3 linked regions of the Oryzias latipes genome follow. The protein of the gene in region 2 purifies or fractionates together with the protein of the main gene of each other region. This does not show direct contact. Links are inferred from orthologs where the notes say so. Each region holds a gene or a part of one and is shown on either strand. Other genes may lie near its edges.

The links.
Region 1: the proteins of neurl4 (region 2) and sssca1 purify together in Homo sapiens (co-immunoprecipitation; 4 studies listed by BioGRID and IntAct, with this or other methods). This does not show direct contact. The link is inferred for Oryzias latipes from reciprocal best matches to the Homo sapiens genes NEURL4 and ZNRD2.
Region 3: the proteins of neurl4 (region 2) and cep97 purify together in Homo sapiens (affinity purification with western blotting; 4 studies listed by BioGRID and IntAct, with this or other methods). This does not show direct contact. The link is inferred for Oryzias latipes from reciprocal best matches to the Homo sapiens genes NEURL4 and CEP97.

Annotation. Positions count from the first base shown.
Region 1 is NC_019872.2:7,955,534-7,959,615, forward strand, and holds the start of sssca1 (Sjoegren syndrome/scleroderma autoantigen 1), read right to left. Parts: upstream 2,805-4,082; 5' UTR 2,729-2,804; coding exon 2,713-2,728; intron 2,699-2,712; exon of another isoform or gene 2,618-2,698; intron 2,274-2,617; coding exon 2,122-2,273; intron 2,047-2,121; coding exon 1,962-2,046; intron 750-1,961; coding exon 316-749; 3' UTR 1-315. UniProt on the Homo sapiens protein: Might play a role in mitosis. Antigenic molecule. Could be a centromere-associated protein. May induce anti-centromere antibodies.
Region 2 is NC_019876.2:14,650,543-14,654,783, reverse strand, and holds the start of neurl4 (neuralized-like protein 4), read right to left. Parts: upstream 2,804-4,241; 5' UTR 2,562-2,803; coding exon 2,397-2,561; intron 1-2,396. UniProt on the Homo sapiens protein: Promotes CCP110 ubiquitination and proteasome-dependent degradation. By counteracting accumulation of CP110, maintains normal centriolar homeostasis and preventing formation of ectopic microtubular organizing centers.
Region 3 is NC_019879.2:10,883,711-10,887,954, forward strand, and holds the start of cep97 (centrosomal protein of 97 kDa), read right to left. Parts: upstream 2,805-4,244; 5' UTR 2,711-2,804; coding exon 2,674-2,710; intron 856-2,673; coding exon 710-855; intron 613-709; coding exon 454-612; intron 1-453. UniProt on the Homo sapiens protein: Acts as a key negative regulator of ciliogenesis in collaboration with CCP110 by capping the mother centriole thereby preventing cilia formation. Required for recruitment of CCP110 to the centrosome.

The DNA.
Region 1 (4,082 bases), on a different chromosome or scaffold from region 2:
TGTAGAAACAAGTCCGCTTTTCTCCGCAATACATAAAACATTTCACTGATTCACATTTTACTGGTCAGATATTTTAAAACCTTTTATGAATAATCGATGAACTTGTCTAAGATAATCACACAGAAATGAAACAATAGGTTTTTGTTTTTTTTTGCCCACTTTTGAATGAATCCGATTTCAGGCAGATGTTTTGACTTCAACGGGAAGCGAAGGTTTGGCCGGACTGGAAAGCTAAACCAGAGTCAGTCCTCTTTAAAGAGAGGCAAATAGAAACACTGTTCCTATCACTACGTGGTTAACATCAGTCCACTGGAGTTACTGGCTAAGCTCCTTGAGGCTGCGCAGGGAGTTGGCACAGCTGCTGATGAGGCTGCAGAGCTGGATGCTGGCCTCCAGAGATGCCGAACTCTGAAGCTGGGCGGTGGCCCAGCGAAGTTTCGTGAGAACAGCCTCCTCGGCGTCTTGCAACACCGGGCTGAAGACGGAGCTCTGTGGGGGGGCTGGGGGGCGAGCAGATGGTAGAGGTGTGGCGGGAACAGGAGCTGAAGGAGGAGGCACAGCTGGAGGAGGAAGAGGAGTTCGCCCCCCTGCAGCTGCTCCCTCGCAGTGCTCTGGTCGTGGCTGAGGAACTGAGCCGCTGGCTTGAGTGCTGCTGCTGCTGCTGCTGCTGGGACCGTCATTAACTTCAGGTGTCTGTGCCGCAAGCTGCCTTTCTCTGACTTGAGACAGAGCTGCTTGTGCGTTCAGAGCTGAAGTAAAAATAATAATAATAGTAGAGTTGAATTTCCAGGAAAGCAGAAACAATGGGTGAATTCTAAAAACCAATAGTCAAAATAGGGTGTCAACAGGGAATGCTTGATAAAAGTCGTTTTTGGAACAGGATTTATTACCCATTTTACAACATTTTGCACAGCATACAGGGAAATTTCTCCAACAACGCCATGCTAAATGTGCACTTCACCATGCTCCTCATGAGGCAGCAGATAATGTTAGTGTGCTGGTTACTGTTCCAAGATACTATCTCACCAGATAATTCAAATTTAGCAGTGGTCATAACCACAACCAACTCAAATACCACATGGGTAGAGCACTGTAGGAAAGTTACACTCAGATAAAATACAATGAATAAGATGAAAGGCTATACTATAATGATATGTACAAATCCATGATTGATTCCCCACATTAAATGTCCAGTTGTTGAGGTGCAGCTATCACTTAATTGGGTTTGGATGATATTGGTTTGCATTTGGGACAAATTGTGGGGTTGGTCCAGCTGGAACCGAGAAGGTTGGTGCTTCGTTTTAAAGATCCACTCCGAATATCTATAGAGCTGTTTTAACAGTATTCCCGGTGAGCTTTTGATTATGACTATGCCATTGAAAGAACTGTGTTGTTCTCTGGGACAGAGTTTCTGTAGAGCTGCAGTAATTCACTCGAATTTCGCCTTGTGGTCGGGCCTGTCTACATTCTCTCCCTAGCTTACAGCCCCTCACATCCCCAAACTACCATTACCGGTGCAAAAAGATCGTTGCGAAATATTGGAGCTGTCCAGTCGTTCAGTTTTTAGCCAGATTCCAGCTCGGACAAAGACGTAAAAAGGTTCTAGTCGTCTACAAGCGGACGCATCAGAATGGAGCAGAGCAGGGAGCTTTTGACCTGCCCATTATAGCTTCTACATCACTGCTACAAGTTTTTTGTAATTAAGAATTTTCATGATTTCCTGAGTCATAACAATGCGAATAGAGAAAAATACTCAGAAATACAACTTTAAGCAGAATTTTCTTTATATATGCCCTCCATATTTAGAAAAATACCACAAAAGAGTGTTAATAACACCAAAAACACTTTTTTTTAAATTGGAGCGGGTCTTTAACGACTTTTAAAGATAATCATTGTAGATTTTCAGACCCAAGAACCCTGCTGCAGGAGCTATTACTCATATGAGAACAGGTTTGGTGTACCTGGATTATCCTTGTCAATGTCAGAGTCCATCTCCTGACAGGAGACACAATAGTTTTTCTGCTGTCTGTCCTGAAGAAGAATAGTCTGGAACCACAAACAATGAATCACGTCACCATTTTCTGCACGCTTTAAAGCCACACAGACTCCCCCTTAACTCACCCCACACGCATCGCAGCAGTCCCCCAGCATTTTGTAGCCTTTCAGAAGGTAATCCCCCATCAGCCGGCTGATCTTGTCTTGCCGCTCCCTGCGAGCTTGAATCACCTTCATCTCAGCCTCTGTTGGAGGTTCCCACTCATAGTCTTCATCATCTGCAGGTCAAAAACTGTTACTTTATCGCATCTAAACAGACGCAGCTAGAAACAACAGCACTTGAACGGTGCTAAAAGAAAAAAGTCTGCTTATCTTCTTTATGCCAGCCCTACTAGACCAACTTAAAAATGTTTTTTAAAAAGCAATATTTTCCCTCCCTTGTCAACACGTTTTTAAGTTACATTTTTTTCTTTATTATTGGTTTTCGAAATGTTACCACATGATTTCCGTGAGGAAATGACAAGCTAGCTAAGCTTACAAACTAACTAACCGTAATGTCTAGACGCGTCTATAAACAGAGCGGGGGCGGTAGCCCCACAAAAATAAGATCAAAGAATCATACCATCAAAAAATAATAAATGCCTTTTTTTGGTTAAACACCAGGCTGACGGGGGAAACGTCAAAGTTTGCACATTGATAACAGTTAAGTTTACAAACCTCCATTCAAAGCCATGTTGCCTCTGTGCTACACGCTGTGCGTGATGACGTATGCGACGTCACGGGCCGTCGTCTTGCTCTTCGCTGATGAGAAACTGTTTTATCGCCCTCTAGCGGGGAGATGGTAACTGCACCTTTTTTATTGACAAAATCCAAAATTACAAATTTTTTCACATAAAAAACTGAAATGCAAAGCATAAGGCAGTGTAGCTTGTTAAAAATAGAAAACTAGAACAAAGTCTAAGCAGCAGATAAAAAATAAAGTAATAAGTAATAAAATAATAAAAAGTACATATATTATAGTTTAGTAGCAAAAAAACTAGTGTCAAATAAAATTAAAAGAAACAAAGGCATTGATCCACATAAACTAATAAATTAAAGAGTTATTGCTTTCTCATTATGGACTTTTAGAGGGATTTATTTAAAAGCATAAGATCGTTTTTGAAATACACAAAATCTGGCTTCTCTTTCAGAAAACAACATTTATAAATACAAAATGTCCCTGAAATAAAAAAAATGTGTTAAATACAAACGTAATATTTTTTTTTTTCTTTTTTGATACAACCAAATTAAATGTTAAGGTATGAATATTTTGGGATTGTGCTTTTGTTGAAAGCCACCTAAAATAAATCATTCCAGAAAATCCATTAATCTTATTTTGTTTATTGGGATTAACGTTCCTTTGCTGGAAATTCAAAGTAGGCAGGGGGCACCCTGGACAGGTCGCCAGTCGGTCGCAGGTTAGAGTGTCCACAATCACACACACCCACATTCACACCTATAGGGACAATTTAAATTAACCAATTAATGAAGCACATGCAAGAACATGCAAATTCCACACAGCAAGGTCCCCCATTGATGTGTGTTTTTTAAAGAAAGTTTGGGACAGAGTTTTCCTTCTGACAGGAAGAGGAAATAATTTAGCAGTCAAGGAGGCTCTTAAAACTTTATTATTGCATTTTTTATTTATAAATTCTTTATCATTATCAGAAAAATGACAGATTTTACATGTTTTCATTTGATTTTAGAAATTTTATTAACAATTAATTCAATATTGTTGGGTGTCGGGTTTCTTGTGATTTTATTTATTTATTTTGTTTTATGTTTTCTATTTATAGTACTATTTTTTATGTTACTATTATCTTTTTTTTAAATAAAAGCACTTTGAGATGCTTTGTAGCAGGAACAGTGCTGTAGAAATAAAGTTGAATTTGAACTAATAAAGTATCTCCCCATTGGTTTTTCCACATCTTCTCTTGAAGAAAAAATATTTGCGTCTTTTGTTCCATACAAACTAAAAATAATGCTTTCTTTTTGTAATGTATTTAAGTCCTCTTGAATTAATTAAATGAAAGAAAGTCTTGAACATA
Region 2 (4,241 bases):
GAAGCCAAGGTTTTGGCAGCTTTTTTACTTTATTTTGGCCTGAACTGCTGATATTCTTTCAGACGAGGCTGATGTTGAGAACAACAACAAGGACATTTTCTGTTTTTTTAAAAATAAAAATATAGCAGATCTGCATCTTAACGAGCTCCAGATTGTTTTGTAAATGAAGAATTTTACAAAATAATGACAGGAAATGTTTTTTTTTATCTTTCAAATGTTCACATCAACACAATGTCTGTAAAAAAAGAAAAAAAAAAATAAAGTTTGCCACAATGACAGACGCCTTTCTCTCATTTTTTGTTTTTGCACGCTTCACCGAAGCTGCTTCTGTTCCCCCCCCAAAAATGAAGAAAGTAATACTTACTGACATTGCAAAACATTTGCGCTTTAAATAAATTATAAAATATCCATCAGTAGTAAGAAGGCATGCAAACATTACGCGTTTTAGGTTTAATTGCTGACATTTTAAATGCTTTCTTTAGCAAGGGAGGAGGTGTGTGATGAAGCTCCAACAGTATAGAGACATAATATTTAAAAATGATGGGGCTGCAATCGGTGATAAAGCTTGTGTAAAACTGCAGCGGGATGAAAGCAAGTTCTAATTCTTTTTTTAAAAGAGCTTTGCTGTTATTTTTAGTCTGCAGTGCATCTTCATACTCAGGAGGAGCATCTTTGAAGACAAAACACTGAAATAAATGACAGAAAATGACACGCAGTAAAGCACATTAAGTCCTTGCAGTTCTGTACTTCTATATAAAAAAAGGAGCTAGTCACAAAAGCTGAAACATCAAATATTGAAGGTGACTGATCGTGACGTTACTCTGATTGTAAGGTCTCCTGACGCTTAGTAAGAAAAAGGACTGGATTTCACACGAGTGAATCACGTTTTCCCCGTAACTGTGCTCTTCTATTTGAGCAGAGTCAGCCAAGCTGCAGCAAACGGAGACAGATAAAAAGCCAAGCAGAAAACAACACACACATTTTTAGAAAATGACAATAAACAACGGAGAAAAATCATCTTTACCCCTTACCATCACCCCAACTGAGAGCTCCACGTTTACACTCTGTCCCACTAGCTTACAGCCTTTCACACACCCCCACAACAAAAATGATGAAGCAATAATCCAGATGTACAGTTTGGAGTCAGAGACCAGCCGAGACGAGATAAAACAAAGACGTTTATGGATCTAGACGTCTGCAAAAAGATGCATCGGAATGGAGCGGCCCCACCCTTAATTTCTACATCACAAATACGAGCTTTTCAAACCATGTTTCTTTTTGTCTGCTCCCGATTCACAACGATCTGAATAAAGAGAGACTAGACTAAGCTTCATTTTCTTTATCTATGTCCTCCAGCATCAGAAAAACGCCACAAGAACATGTTAAAAACTCAAAAAAACAACATGATTTGCATGATCAGAGTGGGTCTGTGGAGCCCCGTAAGCGTATGCAGAGGGAACTCCTGGCAGCCTGCAGATAAAGCAGCCAAACCAGGAGCTTCTAGCAGGCAGCATTCAGGGGGGAGGGACAAAGTTAAAATTAATAAAACCCCTGTCTGTTCTTTACTTTTCACTCCAGCTGATCAATTTTACATAAAAATAAGATTTCAACTCGTCAACGTCGGTTTAAAACCCAGATTGATGCATTTAATAACCAGATCATTGAATCCATTAGGTCAATTTGCACACAAGAGTTACACACCAATAACAACATGTCTGTCTTTATTTAATTTCAGCCTTTAAGCCCCAACTGTGACACCAAGCAGATCTTGTTTACAAATGGATGGAAGCTTTTTGGTGCTAAAAAGGTAAATGGCTGGGGGGTGAAAAGGCTCGACCCACCCTGTCAGTCACAAAATGAGACAACAACAACAATGATCAGTTCAGTAACATCCTCTGAGCCCCTTCAGCTGGGCGGTGCTGCTAGCATCCCTCTGGAAACCTGGGCAGCACCGACTTCTTTCAAAATTGCAAAACTAATTTTTATTATTATTATTATTATTATTATTTGTATTTATTTTTTAACCATTGTGCTACTGTTGTGTTTGAATAGAAGCGACAGTTTTCATTTTTTTAGAAGCGACACCCGTTCTAGAAAGTCAACAACAGCTAGCATCTCATTAGCTAGCTAACTAACCTACGGTTATCGCGAGCCCGGCGACCAGTTTACCGTACATCCGAGCCGAGGGTGCGGTTGTCGAGTCACCGCGCCGCCGCTGCGGCCCCAACAGTCCCCCGCCACAACAGGTAGGCGGCCTGTAGAGACGCGAAGAGCGGCAGGGGGTGGCAAGATGAAACAGAGCCGGGTTTATCCACTTACAGCCCCCACTGCTGCTCTGAGTGACCACCGGCGCTCGGGGTGGCAGAATGCAAAGCATCGGGCCCGCGCTTGTTTACCTTCTTGTCGATCCGGACGGTGAAGACATCCCGGTCCCTCAGCGGCTCCTTGCTGAGCACGAGCCCGTGGTTGAACTCTTGGACTGGCTGGTTTCGCCGGGCGGTTCGGTTCGAGTTGGAGAGGCCGATCAGCTTTCCGCTCCGCGGGTGCAGCTCCGCCGCCATGTTCAAGGGGGGCGGCCAGAAATCACGACACTCTGGTTTTGCGACAGTAACGTTACGTTAGCCCGATGTGCTAGCTGCCGAAAGTCGCGCTGGATACTTAGCGCGGGAAAGAGGTCACTTTACTTCAGCAAATTCAATGAACAAAAGTTATTTAAGAATGTATCATATTTATAAGGAATTTTCTTTGAAATTCTTTAGAAATACAGTAAAAGAAGATTCTTGTTTCGAAATAAATGGCAAAATATCACATTTACAAATAAGTGGAAAGCTGACTTTGTTTTATAATTACATTTTTTATATTAACCATAAGTGACTCAACTAACAAAAAGGTGTTAAAAACAAATTTTAGAAAGTGACTTAATTTAAAATCCTATAAGCCTTGCATTATTATATTGTGTTTATTTTGTTTTATCGTCTGTTGTTCTGTATTTGCATCTTTTGAGTGAAGTTACTATTTATTTTTTGTCAATTTGCTGAATGTTAAGCCATGTTCTGTCATGTTCAATCGTTCAGTAAATTATTAAAAATGGAAAAGAATTCAGCAAATTCAGATTTTTTTGGAAGATTAATGATAAGACAGACACTGTCCACTGTGGATTTATATTCAACTATTGAATGAAAACACTTAAAATAAACTTGAACTGTCCTTTTGTTAGTTATATAATGGAAAAAACATCAGAAACGCAGTGCTACCAGGGGCGGAGCTTTGGGGGGGCAACTGCACCCAACAAAAAATTTGGCCCCACCCCACTTGCCCCCATATTAGTCAATATTAGTATAATTACTGACAAAGATTAGGTAATCATCAATACAAGCCTTCTTTAAGCGTTAGTAATAGCACCTCAGCTATTACTCAGTTTTTGATCTTTTAATTTGCAATTCAATTCTATAATAAAATTATTAGAGCATAATTTTAATTACATATACAAAAATATAATCTGCTCTCTTTGTGGATCCCCTCAGCAAAGTAGTGTATTTACGTTTATATACCATCTATAATATAGACAGTATATAAACTTAAATACACTACTAACACGGAACATTTTAGGTTTACAATATATATATTGTAAACCTAAAATATTCCATGTTAGTCTAAGTAAGTATTCAGTTACTTTCTACACTATAAGTACATGGTGTACAATAGGCCTGCACAATATATCGCTAATTTATCATTATCACAATATCAAGCTGTGCAATACGCAGATCGCAAAAGATAAAAAATAAATAAATAATTGCACTAAATGGTAACCTTAAATATCCTTAAACAATCTTATGGCAGCTTGAATTATTTAATGAATTAAATAAATCCCTTTATGCATTTGACCAATCAGATGGAGCCCTTTCATGTTAGATGTGCACCTCCTATTTAAACAAAGATCATTTGAAGTGTAATTTAAGTTATGTTGACTCTTATTTAATGAAAACTCTTGCAATAACATGGAAATGATATATTTAGTTGTTTTGCTATTTGTTTATGTAATGCAAGATATATCCTCATCACAATATTAAGCACTAATATCCCAAATTGCAAGTTTTCCTCATATTTTCCAGGAATTTTTTGCTTTAAATGTTTTAGTTTAGACATTGTTTTAGTGAAGGGTACATTTTTTGTTGTTATTTCAAATGCTTTAAAAACGCAACGTTGTTGATCCTAAAGACCTTCAAATCCTCTCCCGCCTC
Region 3 (4,244 bases), on a different chromosome or scaffold from region 2:
TTCTCTCGTGTTGTAGCTGAATCTGTATTTTATCTGACCATAGCTTCAAATGTCAATTAAAAACTTACCTTTTTAGAATGTTTTTTTATGCTCAGGTGGCATTTTCTTTTCTTTTATTTATTCTTATTTATCTTTGATGTATTTTATTGCTAAAAACGTTTTGTAAGTTTATGCTGTTTTTAAATTTGTCCTTGATTTGCCTGATTTTAAACATTTTTTTTGTCTGTTTCTTTTATTATGAAGCACTTTGGTACACTTGTACACTTTGGTAAGCATCAATAAATACTGAAAATGTCTGCGTAAACTGTGACCCCTTGAGTGGCAGTCAACTAAAAAGTTTTAATGAAAACCACTGATTTATTTGAACCAATTGAGGAATGCTTCAATTCTTTTCCATTTTTGTTCTGGATGAGAGGTTCTTCTGGTTTGTAGAAATCCCTCCCGTCTCCTCACCTTTATGTTGTTTCCGGAAAGGTTTAGCCATTTCAGATGAGGCAGATCGCGCAGTCCTTCAATGTAGCCGATGCTGTTGTTGGGCAGATTGAGGACCCTCAGCTGCATCAGCTGAGACACCCCCATCATTCTGACCAGACGGTTGTTTGCTACGGATAGCTGAATTAGTGACAACAAGGAGTTTGCATCAAAACCACAGAGCGGGAACGTGTTTGTTCATCTGTCATCAGACTAGAACCACTCTCAAAAATGTGACCTGCTGAAGGCTGGGGCTTCGTTCCAGATTATCCAGCTTCATGATTTTATTGCGGTCCAAGATGAGAGTGTGAGTGTCGTCAGAACTGATGAAACTGGGATCCAGCTTCTGCACCCCCCGACCTGTCAGATCCACCACGGGTCCTGCTGGTTTAGGAGTCAGAAGACAAAACACTTGGATTTCTCTTTTCGTACATAAAAGCATTTCACACTGGTTTACAGAAAGAACAAAGAGTTGGCATTATATTAAAAAAAAAAATGTCACAAATGTACCATTAATGAAACAGAAAGAAAGCAGCACTTTAACTAAAAATCGTTGAAGAACATTCAAGTTCATCAGACATCTTGCTTCAATCTGTGTGTAGCTTCACCTTTGACTCAAAGGTCTACCTACCACCTGATTGGTTCCAGAGCTTTGTTGGGTTTGTGAGCCCTGAGCAGATCTGACTCTATGCTATCTCTAATAGTCTTTATTGAAAGAGCAGACAGAACTGTTATATTGGTCCAGCCTGAAGGACATGAAGACACCAAACAGCTTCTCTTAATCTTGTCTGAATGTGAAATCTCTGAGTTTCCCTGTGTGTTGACCTGATCTATTTGTAGCCTTGTTGATCCACTTCAAAGAAAAAATGGTGTTTTGGGTGTTTTTTTTTCCTGATGAGGCAGGACAATTATGAAGGAAATTAAGCTTCAAATTGCAATTCTGAGTATATTTCATTCAAATCATTTTGAATCAGGAGCAAATGATAAATGCTCTTTATAAAAACTTGTGTTGTGACGTGGAGCCTACAACGGCAAGTTACAGGCTTCCTGCTGCGCTCCATTCTGATACCTCTACTTGTGGACAAATAGATTCATCTACGTCTTTGTTTTCCTCGTCTGAGCTGGACTTTGAATCAAAACTACAGTATATGACTGGATAGCTCCCATGTTGCTTGCCATTTTTGTTACGCCAGTAATTTGGGTTGGGGTTGTGCGGGGCTGTAAGCTAGCGGGAAAGGGTGTAAACAGATGGGTGATGGGAAGTGGCAATGGGCTTACTCCACACCAACAGTCCCGCCCACATCTACTGATGCTCTGCAGAAACTATGTCCTAGAAGATGACACAGGTTTATTGACTTTTCCTAAAAATGACATAATCATAATTAAAAGTACTGGAAATGCTTTGAAACGTGACCGAAAGATGATCGGAGAGCTACTTTAATGTAAATAATAGCAATTTAAAGTGGATTCTACACCAACGTTGTCATGTTTATATTCGACGGTAAAAGGATGATTATGCATCAAAGTCATGATGTCAGAAAATCCCATGTTTGACTTGACCTTTTTTTTACATTTTTAATTAAAGTGAATGTCCTAAAGCAGCAGGAGAATCTTATTCGACGCAGTATGTATTTTATTTTGAAAAGAACATTTAAGTGCTGCTGTTAAAAGTAAAAGTAATTCACATTGAATGAATAGTAAAACAGAACACTGGTAAAATTCAATTACTGTATTGCAAATCTTTAAAAGCTACTTTTTAAATTAATAGTTTTTTTTGTGCATTTAAGTTGGGTGTATGTATTCTATGGCCACCAGGTTCACTTCATGATGGATCAAGGCTTTAACTGACAACCTGCGTTGGCCAACTCAGCCACTGCAACTGTAACTGATGCTGCTGACATCACAACATCTTTAAGATAACAGTCAATTGTGAGGAGGAAAGAATTAGAGTTAGGTTTGAAAAGAAAACTAGTTTACAGTACAGATGTTCCACACAAGTCTGCCAATATGTCCAGTTTGATGATCAAACTAGCTAACAACCACCAGATATTTCAACTTAAAGAGTCAATGAAGAAAAGTCACGGGACGTTTGCTGAGCTAAAAACGGTCAAGAGCGCTAAACGACTAGATTTAACACACGTACGATACAAACATTACAAACTGAATGGGTTCACCTGGCTATAAAACCATAAAGAAACTCACCAGCGTTCGTATCAAAGTGTAAATCTGATACACCCATCCTGCCGGGCTAGCTAGCTTTCACCGAGCGTTAGCTAACTCTAACTGTCAGACACACAAGAGGCGCCTGTCGGCTGTCACAGGGTGAAATGCTTTCTGGGAAATGTAGTTACCTGTCTGGCCTGCAAGTCTCTCTCCCGATTATCTTTTGATCTATAAAGCGCTCCCAATGGTCTTTTTATCATGATTATGCCGTTATTACCCCCCCCCCCCCCAAATAAATAAATAAATAAACAAAATTAACAAGCAAACACACAAAAAAGCCTCAACATTGTTGTTTTCTAGAACACTGCGGAGCAGCAGGAATTTATTAGAAATTCACCTCTGAATTGTTGGCGGGACTCATCTGCCACCTTTAACGCTAAAAGAGCCATGTAGTCTAGCTCATTACTGACCAAAAAACTGCAAAGTCCAACTTCACCGTTTGGGAAAATAGTCTTTTTTATTTAAAAAGGTTTCCGTGGTCATTAAACCTTTTATTTATAAAGTGTTGCTTTTAATACAATAATTAAATTATAACCGTGTTCTATGTTTCTTTCTATACCAATTTGAATTAATTTTACCATAAACTACAGCAAAATAAAATGCATACTGCATCGAACAACTAGTTAATCTATTTTTTTTTCAAGTCCAAGCATTTTCTTTAAAACCAAAGAGCCACACATGGCTCCTTAGCCTCAGGTTGGAGACTCTTGATTTAAATGCTCCCCTTCTAGCTTACAGCTCTTCACAACCCAAACCTAACATTGACTGACAGTAAATAGTTTTTTTAAAATGATCGTTCCACAGCTTGACAACATTCCAGATAGTTATCAGACATTTTAGTTTAGTCTTTTATCTACATTGCATTGTCATTTTTAAATAGAAACATTAAACTTCTCTCATGTTATGTCTTTTATGTTTCCAAAAGGATTCCTGCGTTGAAGTGAGATTAGAATGGAACCTCACTCTGTTTACTTAGATGTAAGGCCAGATGACATGGTCAAAGAATATTTTTTTTTTTTCATTCATTTTTCAAAAGCAAAGATAAATTAAAGTTATGTCTGTGGTTTGTATCAACATAAAACTAACAGAGCAGATGACCTCAGACACGTGCAGACTCAGCAGAGCCATCTGAGAACGAAACACAAGAACTTCATTTTGCTGCCTTTCTGGTTCCCTCTGATATTTGACAGCCAGCCAGAGACAATGAAAAAGACTGCACCTGACTTTGGACTTTGAATTTGAAGTTAACCATTGAATGAAGCGCAGTGACTCCAAAAGGTATTAAGCAGGTTCAGAAGATGGATGAATGGCATTGGATGAAAGACCTACAGCTACAGGTGAACACAAAAAAACCACTCTATAATCTGCAACTGTCATGGCTGTGCTGTGAGCTTGTTAACAAAACCCCAGAGAGTTTCATTGTACATTTAGTGAGTGTTAAAAAATGTTTCAGTGACAATGCTTAATACTTTTTTAAAATTAGCTTTAGTTTAAAAAGATGCAACACATAGGTTTTTTCTGCACTTAAAACTTAAAAATATACACTGAAA